Linked DNA regions of Styela clava. The protein of the gene in region 1 interacts with the protein of each later gene in a pairwise test. Links are inferred from orthologs where the notes say so. Each region holds a gene or a part of one and is shown in the gene's direction. Other genes may lie near its edges.

Evidence for each region.
Region 2: the proteins of methylenetetrahydrofolate reductase (NADPH)-like (region 1) and proteasome subunit beta type-1-like interact in a two-hybrid assay, tested with the Caenorhabditis elegans proteins (3 studies listed by BioGRID). The link is inferred for Styela clava from reciprocal best matches to the Caenorhabditis elegans genes mthf-1 and pbs-6.

What each region holds. Positions count from the first base shown.
Region 1 is NC_135253.1:4,399,371-4,407,797, forward strand, and holds the start of methylenetetrahydrofolate reductase (NADPH)-like, read left to right. Parts: upstream 1-4,990; 5' UTR 4,991-5,095; coding exon 5,096-5,337; intron 5,338-5,750; coding exon 5,751-5,989; intron 5,990-6,343; coding exon 6,344-6,454; intron 6,455-6,874; coding exon 6,875-7,068; intron 7,069-7,907; coding exon 7,908-8,014; intron 8,015-8,248; coding exon 8,249-8,370; intron 8,371-8,427. Other genes in the region: cell adhesion molecule 3-like, read left to right, coding at 397-521.
Region 2 is NC_135255.1:8,348,521-8,355,249, forward strand, and holds proteasome subunit beta type-1-like, read left to right. Parts: upstream 1-4,644; 5' UTR 4,645-4,660; coding exon 4,661-5,174; intron 5,175-5,258; coding exon 5,259-5,440; 3' UTR 5,441-5,594; downstream 5,595-6,729. Other genes in the region: large ribosomal subunit protein uL14m-like, read right to left, coding at 1,372-1,882, 2,033-2,079; histone acetyltransferase KAT8-like, read right to left, coding at 6,546-6,729. UniProt on the Caenorhabditis elegans protein: Non-catalytic component of the proteasome, a multicatalytic proteinase complex which is characterized by its ability to cleave peptides with Arg, Phe, Tyr, Leu, and Glu adjacent to the leaving group at neutral or slightly basic pH.

The sequences.
Region 1 (8,427 bases):
TATAAGCAAGTCATGATATTTTGTTTAACATACTTCTTCAATTTCATTTGTGTTTATGTCAGAGCTTTAGGTTCGAGAGTTCAGGCTGATCTATTCAAAAACTGACTCCAATTATAGTTCACAAAAATTCATCTTTACCTTTCCTTCCTCAGATTTTGTTGAAAATTTGAAGTGGGTCCTTTAATTTTGAGTGGACTGAGGTTTCCACTTGTAATTGAGAATTTGAGAATAAAATGCTGGCTTTTATTTTAATACCATTGCAAAACAGGCCATCTTACCAGTCTAATCCTAGCTAATACAGAAAGTGCTATTTTAATTTGAAATATTTACATAATGCGATATTTAACATGAGACTAATGGAAATGATGTCATTTTATCTTTTATACCCTATTATAGGAACTTACCATACAAATGAAATGAAAAATCATGACACAGAAGAAAATAGAAATGATGATGAACATCCCATGGTAGATGATGAAGAAGATTATGGAGGAAAAAAGAGGACTGAATACTTTATGTGATCAAATGTTTCGTTTTTTTATGTTTCATCAACTAATGCAACAACACATCCTGTCATATTTGAATTACCGTATATCCTCGCGTATAAGCTGAGTTCAAAACTAAAAAAGCCAAACTATGAGGTCGGCTGTTATCAAAATTTGGTTTATAGGCGCGGCGCATACCTCTGATCACATTCAAATGAAATGACATTTTATTAATTAATACCGCAAACTTTAAACTGAACGATATTATCATTAACAACGCCAGGCAAACAATAAAAACCGCGATAGATTCTAAATTATATTTGAGGAGCTATTTTCCGATTATGCTCGGTCACTATCGCAACTGAGGATAAAAGCGATTAATTAGACTGGCAAATTAGACTGGCCGCTTTGAGGGGGTCTGCTTGTATGAGAGATCGGCTTATATGCGGGGATATATGGTATTAAAATGGAGACCATCCTGTCTTCTTACACACTTCTGAATTTAAATATTTTCGCCTGATAATTTAAAAAGCATAGTTGTTATTTTCTTGGGTTTGCATCACTTATGATTAGTTGTAAATGTCTGAGCATATATGTTTAAAATATGTCTTTGTCATATTAAAGAAAGTTGCTGTGAAATTTCCATTATTTTCTAGAAAAATGTCATAATTTGGAGTTGTCATTTTAAAATGGAATTTAAATCAAATTCCTTATGCAAGTTTTGTCGGCTATGTGTGCTTTTATTAACTGCATGGCCATTTTTTTTTTTTGAATGCTTGCTTACGATTGCTTTTCACTTATGAAATGATGCTTTTAACACTATCATTGTTTGTACACACATGTGGGTCTTTGTAAAATTTTCTCCCCAGATAGTCTTCCTACTAAATCTGCTCAGCAGTTCAAATCGAAATCAAGTTACTAAGACATTGTATCAAGTAGCATTTTGTTGACTTGAAAATTCATAAACAACTTTTTATGATTACTTTTGAATTATAAACTATCATGAACATCATTTCATTGCTGTTTTGTGTAGCAAATGACAACAATTTAATAATTTTCACCCTATTCTTTTACTTCTAATGCACAATGCTTTGCTTTCAATTTATTTTTTCAATTATTAAATCACTATTCAATTGATTTCATCTGTAATGGTATGTAGTACATCAATCGATTTCATATAAACTTTTTCTATTTCATTCACATTTCTGTAATCTTTTAATTAATAAACACAATTGAACTATTTTATAAAGATAAGATTAAGTTAATTATACGTTAATGTATTCAATTTAACATGCATGTTAATAGGTTACCAAGAGAGAATTATAATACTGCAGGATCCCATACAAATCATGCTATTTCAAATAGGAATTTATATCTTCAAATATCATTTTGGACATTTTTATCAAATTTTTAAAATCAGATTATTGATTCTTGTCATCCGATAAATAAGTATATGTGTGATTAAGGACAGTTGATAGATTCACATTTAAACTGTATATACTTCTATTAACTATTTATTGTTCAAAGTTATTTTCTAATTTTTAAACTTGTGTGTCGCGGGCCAAATCTTTCAAGTTTCTATATGATTTTTGAACTAAAAATGTTACAAGCTCTTTAGAATGAGCTGAAGTGGTGCTGTAATTTAGTTTTTTGCTTTTTTTATTTACTTATATTTGAGCTTTTAGTTATAAATATACAATGGAAGGTAATTTTGTATCTTAAGCTTTAGATTTTGAGGTTTGAAATAGAATAAACCCCTGCTTGGCTGGCAAGCGCCTAAACTTGAAAAAAAAATAAGGTCACAAACCATTGAAACTCCAAATTCAATGTTTAAAAGTTTAAGCCATCTTTTTGAAAAACTTCTTGTTGAATTAGTCCTAAAAAATGCTTTCTATATTTTAGTGGATAGTGCTTTTTACTTTTTAGTTGTTCCTTTTATAGTAGAAGTGCTTTTTCTCCTTCGTCATGATATCATTTTGGTACGTCATCATCTGGTATCTGGTGTGAAATAAAAGGTTTTGCTAGATACCTATGTGCGTGTTTTTGTACATTTTTGAGTTATTTGTTATCCTAGATTTGTTAAAAAATGTCCCATACATTCCCCGACAAGATTTCAATGCACTAAAAAGGTAAGGTTCGTCTTTTTGATTAGATCCCTGGGTCTCGCTGCTCGATAACCAGCTTTGGTTTCTCGCGGCTTCTCTCCTAGTATTTTGTGTAAAACTTAACTTTCTTACTGGTTGTAAAAAATGAACTTGACTTGACTGTGGAAGAACCATTTACGACGTCGGAATTTGCTAAACATGTAAGAAATGTCCTCATTGTTCGAGTTTTTTTACATGCTGGTTTCGAACTTGAGATGTTTTCAAGTACAACAACCATCAACGTGTTTTATTATAAACCTGTATTCGGCTGCATTGTAATCCGCTATTACATGAGAATAATGCTCTTGAATTAGGTGCATGTCTGGTGAGTCAATACCAGATTGTAATAATAACCAAGTATTATCAACGATAAATTTTTTTTTACCTGTGCTGAAAATTAAAAAAAAAAAAACATAAGTAATGAAATGAATATAACCAGTGGTGGGATTTAGCCGGTTCGCACGGGTTCTATAGAACCGTCTCACGGAATTTTATGAGATCAGCGAACCGGCTAGCATTACTGGTTACTGTCAATGTTCTGTTTGTGTCAGAACCGGCTGAAAAATATGACTTTTGTGAAGGAACCGGCTGACAAAAAAATTTGAATCCCACCACTGATTATAACCCTCGTGATGTTCTGCGTCTCCTACTAATATGCACGGTGATACTGTTAAGTTTATCAAGTCTCCTTGTGGTTTTTTTCAACGTCCGGATTCCGATTTGTTTGCTGCCTAATGTACACGGGTTTAAAAATGTATTTATTCGTATCGTACAAATGAACAGTTCAAAGTTGTATCCAAGTAATACTGTGCTCGAGTCGATTTCTTATTGATAACTTTATCCCCATTTCGTTTTTCTTTGTCTGAATTGATGGTCATTTTATAAAAAAAAAATACGGTTCTTCTCAGCTTAGTCTTCAGCCTACCCACTTTCTGTTGTTGCCTGATTTTGACTCCCAGCAACAAACAGAAAGAAATCAGAATTCACAAGCACATAATCGATGAATCGTTACCAAATTTTGTGCGTTTATTGTTTTATGTATGTGTTTTTCGGCCGAATCAAAACAAACTTAGCCTACTTAATACTAACTTGCTCGTCATAATTCTACAATATCTTATGTATATCGCTTTTCCTCCCTGTTTAAGTTGAATACTTATTAAGCGCGACAGGAAATCTTAATTGTTCTGTCAAAACAATATGTTTTGTCCTCGGTCTATGAGCCTGTGACTCGGATGACTCACAACAGCTAATAGTTAGAGAGAGGGAGAAAATATGCAACTCAATTCGGTATAGACTGGAGGGAGCGATACGACCAGGTCATCAAAGTCAGCTCCCCCAAAAATCAACAATGAGATTCACAGTTAATGTATATAAACCATGCATCATCTGATCCGTTTGACACACAAAATATTTAGTTTCAATATATACGTTGACAATAAGACACAAATTCAAAGATTCTGGGCGTTGATTCTTGAGAAAGAATAGTATATATATACAATATACGCGAATTGTTGAATTCGGGCGTTGAAGCTTGAAAAATAAAATACAAGTGCGTGACCTCAGGCTTTAAACTTGAAGAGTTGAAGTTGAGTTCTGGTCCAGATGCCTATCTTTGTGTCAAAATTCTGTTAATTGACTAATGAACTATCGCCGAACGCCTAAATAGCTCAGTAGTAGGAAAGCTTTAGTTTGCTTTCAACTTGCCTGACAACACCGAGTTTCTGAAAAGATCAGCGGACAAGCAAAACGCAACAAAATCTAAATAAAATAAATATTATGGATAAGAATGAGAAATGGGAATTCTAACAACAAATCGATACATGCGTATGTACAATTCGTGTCCAATAAATTTAAATTAAATAATTAATAACACTAACTTGAAATTGAAATCAAAAAAGCATGATAATCTTCTAGCGACTTTTGGTAAGTATAACAACAACAACAATCATCCCACCTTCAGCATCAACAAAAACATTTAGTGTCCAATAATGATATATAGGTGCAGCGTTGTTATTGGGTCACTCGACAAATAACAAAAACTGTAAATGAAAGTAATTTTTCCACGTTTTTTTCTTTTTGAGTGCCAGTCGTCATGGAATGTTATACAGAAATTGCGCATTTTCGGGAAAATACTACACCGAATTTTAATATGATAATATTTACGATGATGTATATGTGTACAACAATAAAAACTGTTTGAGCGCGTTTGTGATAAGAGTCAAATTGAAAGCAATGATATTCACCAATTGACGCGATATATCGTTTCAAGAACTCAACTCTCGCCTTCAAATTTAAAAAACAGCTGATGCTATGCATGATCAATCAAGCGTTATGTTATGTTTGGTATAAAAACGAAAAATTTCATCGATCGTCCCCATTTGCCTGTAACCGTCTGTGCGTTCGTGTGAGGTTCTGGAGGACTCTCTCGATGTATGTGTAATAAGTTAATACAGAAAGTAAACAAAAATGGTGTCTGGGACAGAAAAAGCAGATGCTGTTGAAAGAGATGAAGTGCACGGGGCAACAAATGGTTTTGCCTCCGCAACAGATGGATTGTGCAAAACGAATGACTCGTTGTGCAATGGCGTTTCTCCTTTCGTTTCTCTAAAAAACAAAATAAACAATCGTGTGCAATCAAAAGATCCATGGTTTTCACTGGAATTTTTTCCTCCACGAACAGAAAAGGGGGCTGCAAATCTTATTGGAAGGTATGCAATTAGGTTTAAGAATACTTATAAAATAAGTTTAGTTAACTCAAAGTGGTCAATATGGTTAGATATCTCATGCCCAAACTGTACAAATAAACGTATAAAAAACCGCAGGTTGCAACATGTTTAGCTATTCATAACTTATAAGTTATTCTAACTTTAGTATATTTTAAAATTAACCACTAGTATGAATTATTAAGAAATGACTGGTCTAGTGTTTTAGTATTTTTCACTTTCTCAAGGTAATTGAGAATGAATTTTACCAAAGTTGGGAATAATTTAGGAATCAAAGTAAAAAGTAGCTTAAGTAGTATAATGGAAATTGAGCTGCAAAACATATCTTTTTTTGCTTCAATTGCCAGTATATGAATGAATTTTTTTGCAAACATGAAATTGTGTCATCTTTTCATCAGGTTGGATCGTATGAGGGACGGAAATCCTTTATTTATTGACATAACTTGGCATCCTGCTGGCGACCCCGGTGGTGATAAAATAACATCCTCAACCAAAATTGCAGGGACAATTCTAAATTATTGTGGCATTGATACAATGCTACATATGACATGTTGCAATCAAACTAGAGAAACAATCATGAAAAATCTAGAAAAAACTAAATCATTGGGAATCAGAAGCATACTAGCCTTGAGAGGAGGTAGGAAAGAATATCACTTTTTATTATTGAAAACTCTATATTGAAACTAAACATTAAACTAAATATTTAAAAAAGTACACTAATTAATTAATTAAATATTTAATTGTTACTATTTCAGATTTCTATTTCAACAAATATAGGGTTCTCTGTTCTGTTTGATTGTGAAGTGTTCCATTGTAATATTGGCGCCTTTTCACTTGCTTTATTGATATCTTCATATATTGGAGTCATATTGGTATCGTGAATAAAAAATGGCATATATGATAGTATTTGTAAAGATACTTCTGAATTTTGTTCAAGTTGATGGGGTGTACTCATAAACAAAAGAATTTTTTTTAAATAATTTGATTTTAGATCCAACAGGCGACGAATGGGAAATGAATGAAAATGGGTTGAATTATAGTTCTGATTTAGTGGAACTTATCCGTCAAGAATATGAAGATTATTTCAGCATCTGTGTTGCAGGTAAGCGAAAATTGGAATTGAAAAATAAGTTCGCAGAACGTATTATATAGATTTTACCAAAGAGTTTATCTTCCGTAAGAGTTAATAGGTATATGAACTTACATGAAAATTTCCTAATATTACACTTTTTTTAATAGTTTATTGCATTATTAGTACTAAACCTATTTTACAGACAATAAACTTTTTTATTGATAATGATAAGCAAACTAGTGTATATTATTTATTTTGTTGAACGAAAGCACCAAAGGAAACTTGAACTTTTAACCCTTTGATGTTGTATTTTGAGAATAACATTGATCATTTTATTATATAATAACATTTTGTACATAATTGTGAAATAAAGTACGAAATATTGATTTTGGCTCAGAAGTAAACTTGTCTTGTGGCTTCCATTATCAAACAAGTATATTTGTCATTCAGGTTATCCTAAAGGTCATCCGGATTGTTCATCATATAAAGACGATTTAGTCAATCTCAAGAAAAAAGTAGATGCTGGTGCAGATTTTATTATAACTCAGTTATTTTTCCAAGCTGAGGAATTCTTAAAATTTCAGTCAGATTGCAGAAAAATTGGAATTCAATGTCCTATTATCCCTGGAATTTTTCCGATTCAGGTACCGCTAATTACGTTAAAGTTGAGTAGCATAGTTTACTCAGCACACACAGTGTGTTTGTTGAAAGATAAACAAATATTTGATATTATGCAACTTTGTTGTTTAACCACACAATTCTCCATGAATTTGAATGACATCATTTTTGTCAAGTATAATTCCTTTTTTGATTATAATATTTATCGATTATGTTTTTATTAAATATGTAGGTATATATGTAAATTTAAATAATGCTAGTCATGAAATATCTAATTTTTCCAAAACGAAATTTAAAAATTGGGAGTTTCTTTGTTTGTTTCTAGTTCAAACTTTTTTCAATTGTTTATTTGTAATTGAGTTTTGGATGACACTTGTCCAGATTATAATTGAACAACTAATCTATCAAAAAGCTAAAAAATCACTCCTATTTATGTTTCGCTGATTGATTAATTTTTGTCTGTTGGATATTGTTTTGGAACTTTAATTGATAAGGGAATGCACAACAGAAAGAGTTGCATCATTTTTTCACTAATTACACGTCATATAATGATTTCCGTGAATATGGTAATTTTGCTAAATTGCAAATCCAGCTGGTGATGCCATTATTGACAGGTTTAAAGACATTTAATTTAAATAAAGTGAATAATTTCAAAATGTGTATTATGTAAAGTAATTTTGAAAGGAATATTTTTTATGAAAACACATTATCAATTCACTTAGAAAAGTACTGGAAACAAATGTTAATCTTATCTTGGAATTTGTCGCCTCAGTAAAATGTACTTCTTAGTGCAAATGAATATGATTCATTTGCACTATCTGGCACAATATTTAACACTTTATGTATCGTTTTTGTTGTGCATCAGACGAACAGATCTCTTGTTCAACTGACAAAATTATCGAAACTTGAAGTCCCTGAGGATGTGCAGAAAATTATTGAACCAATAAAAGATAATGATGCAGCTATTCGAAAGTAAGTTTATTGGGACAATTCGAAGCAAAAGCTTATGGAGCTTTCAAGAAAGTGATGGATTTTGTCACGAGAACAGTGTTGTTTTATTTTCAGAGAAATTGATTATTTTGAGTCATTTTTGTTTTGTCATTTACATTGTCTAGTTGTTTTAGAGATTTTCTCAAAGTATAATATAGACTGTTTGTCATTTTTGTAATGAATCAAATAAATAACAAAATTTCATTGGTTTTGTAGCTTCGGGATTGATTATGCTACTGACATGTGTCGTGAACTTTTGAACTCTGGAGAAGTTTTGGGTTTTCATATGTATACTCTCAACCTGGAAACTGCAACAATTAGCATTCTGGAAAATTTAGGTAAATTCTTAGATTTATTGTTTAAAATGGATGTGCAAGGCTGTGTACTATTTTTTT
Region 2 (6,729 bases), on another chromosome or scaffold:
TAATTTAGTTTATTGATATTCGAAATGTTTTTTTAGTGTTATTCTGGAATAGTTTAGTATTCGGATATGGACAACCCTAGTGATGGGTATCCGGAAAATGTGGGAATAAATATAAAAGTCAATTAGCTAGCTGAAGACTATATTTTAATACTTATTCTGATAAAAATAGTGATGACCACAAATATATTGGCGCTTTCAATTACAAGAAAAGGTTTTTAATATATAAATTCAAAATGGAAGTGTAAGTATGGCAATATGTTTTCAGTAGGATTGGCAACATGTTTTCAGTGGAATCTTCCTTTTATATTTTAATTAACGATAAGAAGATCGATCAATTTGGCAATGGCAACCATTACAAAACTATCAATATGGTGTGGCAAATAATTTTTTTCTTTTCTAGTATTTTTTTTTGTTTACTGTATAGTATACCCTAAATTTATCGCGTTTTATTCTTACTTAAATAACTTCTCAGTGGTTGTGTGTGTGTGTGGCTGGTGGGTGCATGTGAGCGTGTGTGAAATAACTTAATAATTTGAGGCGAGTAAACACGTACCACTTCTTCTTGGCAAAACCTTCCATCTTATATTTTGTAAGTTATAAACCTTATCTAAGGTTTCGTTTGCTCCCCTGATTTCATAATCAGTTTTTATTTATTTGTTTTTATCTGTCAAATGTATTGTTGTGCTGATTATGGAGTCGAAATAAATTTATTATACTTATATTCAATTTTTATGTATTCCAAGACGTTGAATGGTTTACATGAATATTTGTTAAATGTAATGTACAACTAAGACATTGCAATATCTCAATGGCAATAAGCATTTATGCAATATTGCATTCACTACATTGCGTTTGTAAAAAAAAACAATCGAAATCCTGTTTTAGGGTCCTGGTTCTCGTTGGTACTAGGCATCATTTGAAAATAGTTGGTAGGTATGGTTCAGCAAATGGCAATATTTACACAATCATATGAAGCAAAATAAGGATGAACTTTCCTGATTTTGCACTAGCGCTTGACTTGTTACTGTTAGTATACAAAAGTTCATGGTACAACCTCCACAAATGTTCAACCCAAACAAGCACAACAATACTAATCCAACATTGTGGATTTGTCAACAATCATATTTCACATAAAAGGTGTCAATACTTTTATAATACAATGCATACGAAGAAATTTATGAGATACTCGCACAATTGCAATATACCAATCTCCACAATGGTCTCATATTTAGCAGAAGCATATAACTAGGTTAGACAATCTAACCAATAGATGGAAAGCTGAACAAACCTCCAGTTTTAGCTTCCATCGCATTGTTGGATTAACATGCATAACTGAGGAAAGAAAGTTGAAGCAGTTAACATGAAGGTATTTCATACAAATCTCCCAGCAATTGCAATGACTTTAGAAATTTGTACTCTCTGCTTTGCAGATTGAATTCCTCTAAGAAAAGATGGCACTGGGACTGTAATTCTTGTGCCATCTGGAGTACCATCATCATTTATTAAAATTACATTATTAGAATCCATTCTGGCTTTCATGGGGCCCATTGATCTCTTTTGACCAATAATAAGTGCTCTTTTCATCAGTCCTCCTATTGCTAAAAGTACAGTGTCACCCACCCTTCCATATCCAGTTTTATGGTAGACTTGTATCACTCGGGGATAACGATAATAGCTCTGCAATGCAAGTGCACTATTGTCAGTTACCCTTACCCGGGTAAGTTTTTGAAAAGCTTTCCTCTGCATAGCCTTCGTTTGCCGATGTCTGTCTCTAACATTGCCTGGGTGATGTTTTTCTCCGAAATTCACATTTTCATAAAATGTTTGATTGTCATAATGTGCAGCATTTGGTGCCTTTACATTGCAGCATGTGTAGAATCCCCTGTTGAAATTTTTTACATGATAAAAATATTTCATAGAAAATAAAGAGGTGAGCCAAAAAATAATCTATTGCCTTGACAGATAAAATAACCACCAATAATCATTTTTTTCCTGTGATTTTGAATTTTAACATAATAAAAATTCATTTTACCTCACTGCATTAATTGAAGGGTTGAAGTATCTAAGAATGCTTTGCATCTTTTAATCCACAGGATTTTAACTTGTATCTGAAGACATCCAATAGTATTATGCTTGTTTAAACCTACCAATGAAATAAGTTGGTATGAGAAATCAGGATAGAAACCGAGGGTTAGCAGAGGTCACGATGAGCCAACCACTGAGCTAAGAAATAATCAAAACTGATCACAGAATCAGGTGAGCAAACAAAACTTGGGGTCTGGTATAGTTTAGTACCACATACCCTTCTAATTGGCCTGGCTTAACAATTTTTGCATATGTCATTTCTAACCCTCACATGACTATGTCACCGAAAAATTATGCCATTGCGACATCACAGTTACATAATAAGGCCCACCAAAGTAAGCGGATGATCGTCCAAAACGCGCAGAAAGATCACCGGCGCTAGCGAGTTTGTTATCGGCTGCGCAGATGACATATCGGGCGATCGTAATGATACTTTGGCAAGCACGATGACGTGAAGGTGACGTAATTTTTGCTACAGGAGTGGTGACTCCACTACGCCCCATGGGCCGGGGCCACGGCCCATCTAATTGGGCCACATGGGCCGTGGCCCATCAAGCTATGGGCCGTGGCCCCGTCAGGAAAAATTCAATTATCTTACCAAAATTTTCAATTTCTACAAAATTGTCAATATTCGAACCAAAAAATAAACTCCTGTAGTATGTGTACCAGGTTAGGGTTAGGGCAAAATTTTGTTCAGATTTTTTACATTATAGTTCTATTATGAGTTTGGGGACTGTCTGTGTTAGCCAAGTGAATAGTTCCTTTACACAACTTGATGGGCCACGGCCCATAGCCTGATGGGCCTAGGCCCAATTTGATGGGCCGTGGCCCCGGCCCATGGGCCGAAGAGGAGTCACCACTTCCACTCAATTTTTGGATGGCCTAGTCAGGTGAGGGGTTAGTAATAACATATGCAAAATTCGTTATGCTACGCCTACTGGAAGTACTTGCGGTACTAAACTATACTAGACCCCAAAACCTCATGTACTGTTTGAGACATACAGATTTAAAATTGTGAGTAAGGGGCTGTCAAAAGAAGTGATACAATGTTCCTCACCTAAAATGTGTTAAATTAATGAATACACGCACGCACAAGGCACACACACATACAATCACTAAGACATAATAACGAAATAAAAAGAGAAAAAAGATAAACATAGTAGTCTATGTTATTGCATTCAAAAACATGATGATGTCTGAGTATTAGGTGGTTACCAAACGTTAATAAAAGACCATGAAAAACAACTGTGACAGACAATGAAGGCGGCAGTCCAGTAAAAAAATAAAAAGTTTTATCAATTCTGAAATTAGACCTGTTTCAACTGATCACAATGATAAAGGCAGCATGAGAAATATGCCCCTATACAGGCACCCAACAATATTGTAAGATAAATTTGTCAAGTACAGAAGTCAGCAAGTATCGGTATCGTACCATTTGCATTTTGCACACTCAATACAATAAAATATATTTCGGAACTTTATTCTCGGCAATTTAATTACTCCAGCACTGGCAAAACATAAAATGAAGGTACCGGTACCGCAGTGATGTGTTAGTTTATGTTGCTAGTCAAGGTACTTATGAAAATTTTCACCTGGCTAATCCACCCAATTTCAGTATAAGTCAACAAGAACAATCAGTGTTGTATTCTCCCTGAGTACAACATAAATTTCAACGTGAAAATCTGGCACGGCATGACGAATTCAGCCATCCGTTTGATGATACGGCAATTTATTTTAGCTGCGTCATTACTAAATAATACGTTCTGTTGTAATTTTCGATTCGATCGGAGGCTGAGCGACTTTCGTGTTTAAAACTCTACGTTGTAGCTCAAATTACGGTTAGGTTGCGCTGCTGACTCTATACTTATAAGTTAGCTGTATAAGCATATTACTGTGAAGAACATTTAAGATTTTAAAATCTACGTTAAAATCTTAGATAGTCTAGATCTGTAATTTTTAAATCAGTTTCACATTTTCCAGATTTCAGAATCTACCGGTATTGAAATAAGCAACTTTGGTATTCAGGTAATCTATTTTATAGGCAGTGAGGTTTATTACCACCCATAGTCTGATAATGTCAATTATAGTACCGGTACCGTATGGCGAATCACGCTCATCATTAGGAATACGGTACCGGTAGCGGTACCCTTGCCATCGCACTTCTGATTAGTGTGCTTGGGTTTGTAAGCTTGAATTCCGCCCAACTATGTCAGTATGTGGAAGAGGACTGTTGTAATTCTCCATCATTGAGTCCATATGTCTAAAAACAAATAAATGGCGGACTAATCCCATATCGATTGTGACATTGTAGTCAACTTCCTCTCCCTCTGGATAAATATGTAAATCCTATTGCAAATATGGATAGGATGTAAATAATTTCATATTTTGCCTTTGAAGAATTTTTAGTTAATTCCCTACTTTTCCGTGTCAACTATTGAAAGTAAAAAATGTGGTGTTACGAATTTCTCATTGTTCGTTAGCTGTGGTGCTTATATATTAAAATTATTCTATATTAAATACTCACTTATTATTATTTTATGATTAATTATGCACGATACAGGTCAAAAATAAAAAAATGGATAGTATTGGAAAACTTCAAACCTATGGAATCAATGCACCAAAGCAGCAACATTTTTCCCCATATGCTTCAAACGGTGGTAATACATTGGCGATTTCTGGAGATGATTTTGCCATAATTGCAGCAGATACCAGGCTGAGTCAGGGTTTCTCTATACACAGCCGGGAAGAACCAAAAACTTTACAGCTAACCCCCAAAGTTGTGCTGGGAGCTGCAGGTTTTCATGGAGATAGTCTGACCCTAAAAAAGGTCATACAAAATAGAATAAAATTATATGAGCATGAGCACGGCAAGAAGCCAAGTGTCAGTGCAATAGCCGCCATGCTATCAACCATCCTTTATTACAAGCGATTCTTTCCTTACTATGTTTACAACCTGTTGGCTGGCATAGATGATGAAGGCAAAGGTTGTGTGTATTCATACGATCCGGTTGGATGTTATGAACGTGAAGCATATAGGGCAGAAGGTTCAGCTGCTGAATTGTTGCAACCTCTTCTGGACAATCAGATAGGTATGTTGTAAAGTAACATGGATATAATATAACAATGATTTTTTAACGAGTTAAAAAATGACATGATTAAATATGCTTTTTTAGGTTTCAAGAATATGGAAAATGTTCCGAAAATACCTCTTACGAAACAGAAAGGTTTACAGCTAGTAAAGGATGCTTTCATATCTGCTGCTGAACGAGATATAACGACTGGAGATAGTGTTCTTATCCATATTATTGATGCCAATGGTGTGAAGACAGAACGATTCCCTCTTAGAAGAGACTGAGTTTTTCTACCAGGACTTTCTGTGACATTATTAGCACTATCTAACAGTGCAAGATGCTCAAAAAAGTTCATTTGTCAGTAAATGTGAGCATTTCGAAGCTTGTTTGAAAAAATGCTTTGCATTTTATTACTAAATTACATTCTTGAATATAAAAGTGTATGAATGATGGGTATTACATTAGAGAAGTTTCAAAGGAATGTTTGGTGTTGCATGCATTTCAATGGTAGTCTTGACTGCCCGTCCGTGTACATTTAGAGCCAAAATATGTCAAATAGCGCCTGCTTGGGGAATTAAGAATACTATTTGCCGAGCCCACAACAGAATTTCACCTGGTCTGTAGGATCATTTTTCACACCTTTTATTACTAAATTACATTCTTGAATATAAAAGTGTATGAATGATGGGTATTACATTAGAGAAGTTTCAAAGGAATGTTTGGTGTTGCATGCATTTTGTTTAATATGCGCAGTTCCATGCATTTCAATGGTTAGTCTTGACTGCCCGTCCGTGTACATTTAGAGCCAAAATATGTCAAATAGCGCCTGCTTGGGGAATTAAGAATACTATTTACCCACAACAGAATTTCACCTGGTCTGATGTCTGCAGGATCATTTTTCACACCTCGCCAGCTACACCCAATTAATATCTCTCTGGAGAATCTATCCCCTGACTATCATGCAAGTAGGTGACCTCTGCATATAGTAATATCCAAGTTTCATGGATGAAAAATACAACAAAATTCTTGTGCTTTGTTTCAGTTTATACTGCTATCAATGCTATAGTTATGGTTTTATATGGAGCCCAAAAATAAGCAGACCCCCCTTCGGTAGGTGTATCCTCTGTGTGAAATTATTCCTGCCCTGTTGGATGAGTAATAGATTGAAAGTTTCTTGTGTTTTATTTCAGTTCATGGTGTCGAGCCCCGGAGTCCAGAATAAACAGACTTCCTGTGTTAACATCTTCAACAAGATATTTGAGTACAACAAAGACAGTGAAAAGCAGTTTAATAAAATAATGGCGATTGGCAATATGAAAAGATTCAGTCAGAATGCCTCACATGTATTCTGTAATTAGTTCATATAGTTTTGTCAACAGTTGACAGTCTTCATTTTTTGTGGTGGATACCTTCCTTTTTCACACCTGGCTTTCTCTTTGGAGGCTGCCATCTCATGAATGTTTTGTCCACAGGAATTCGTGGCCTTTTGATCAGCTGTGATTTCATATGTTCCTCAATGTGTTTTGGTGTGACACAGACAACATGTTGTCCTTTCCAATATTTTACCATGTTG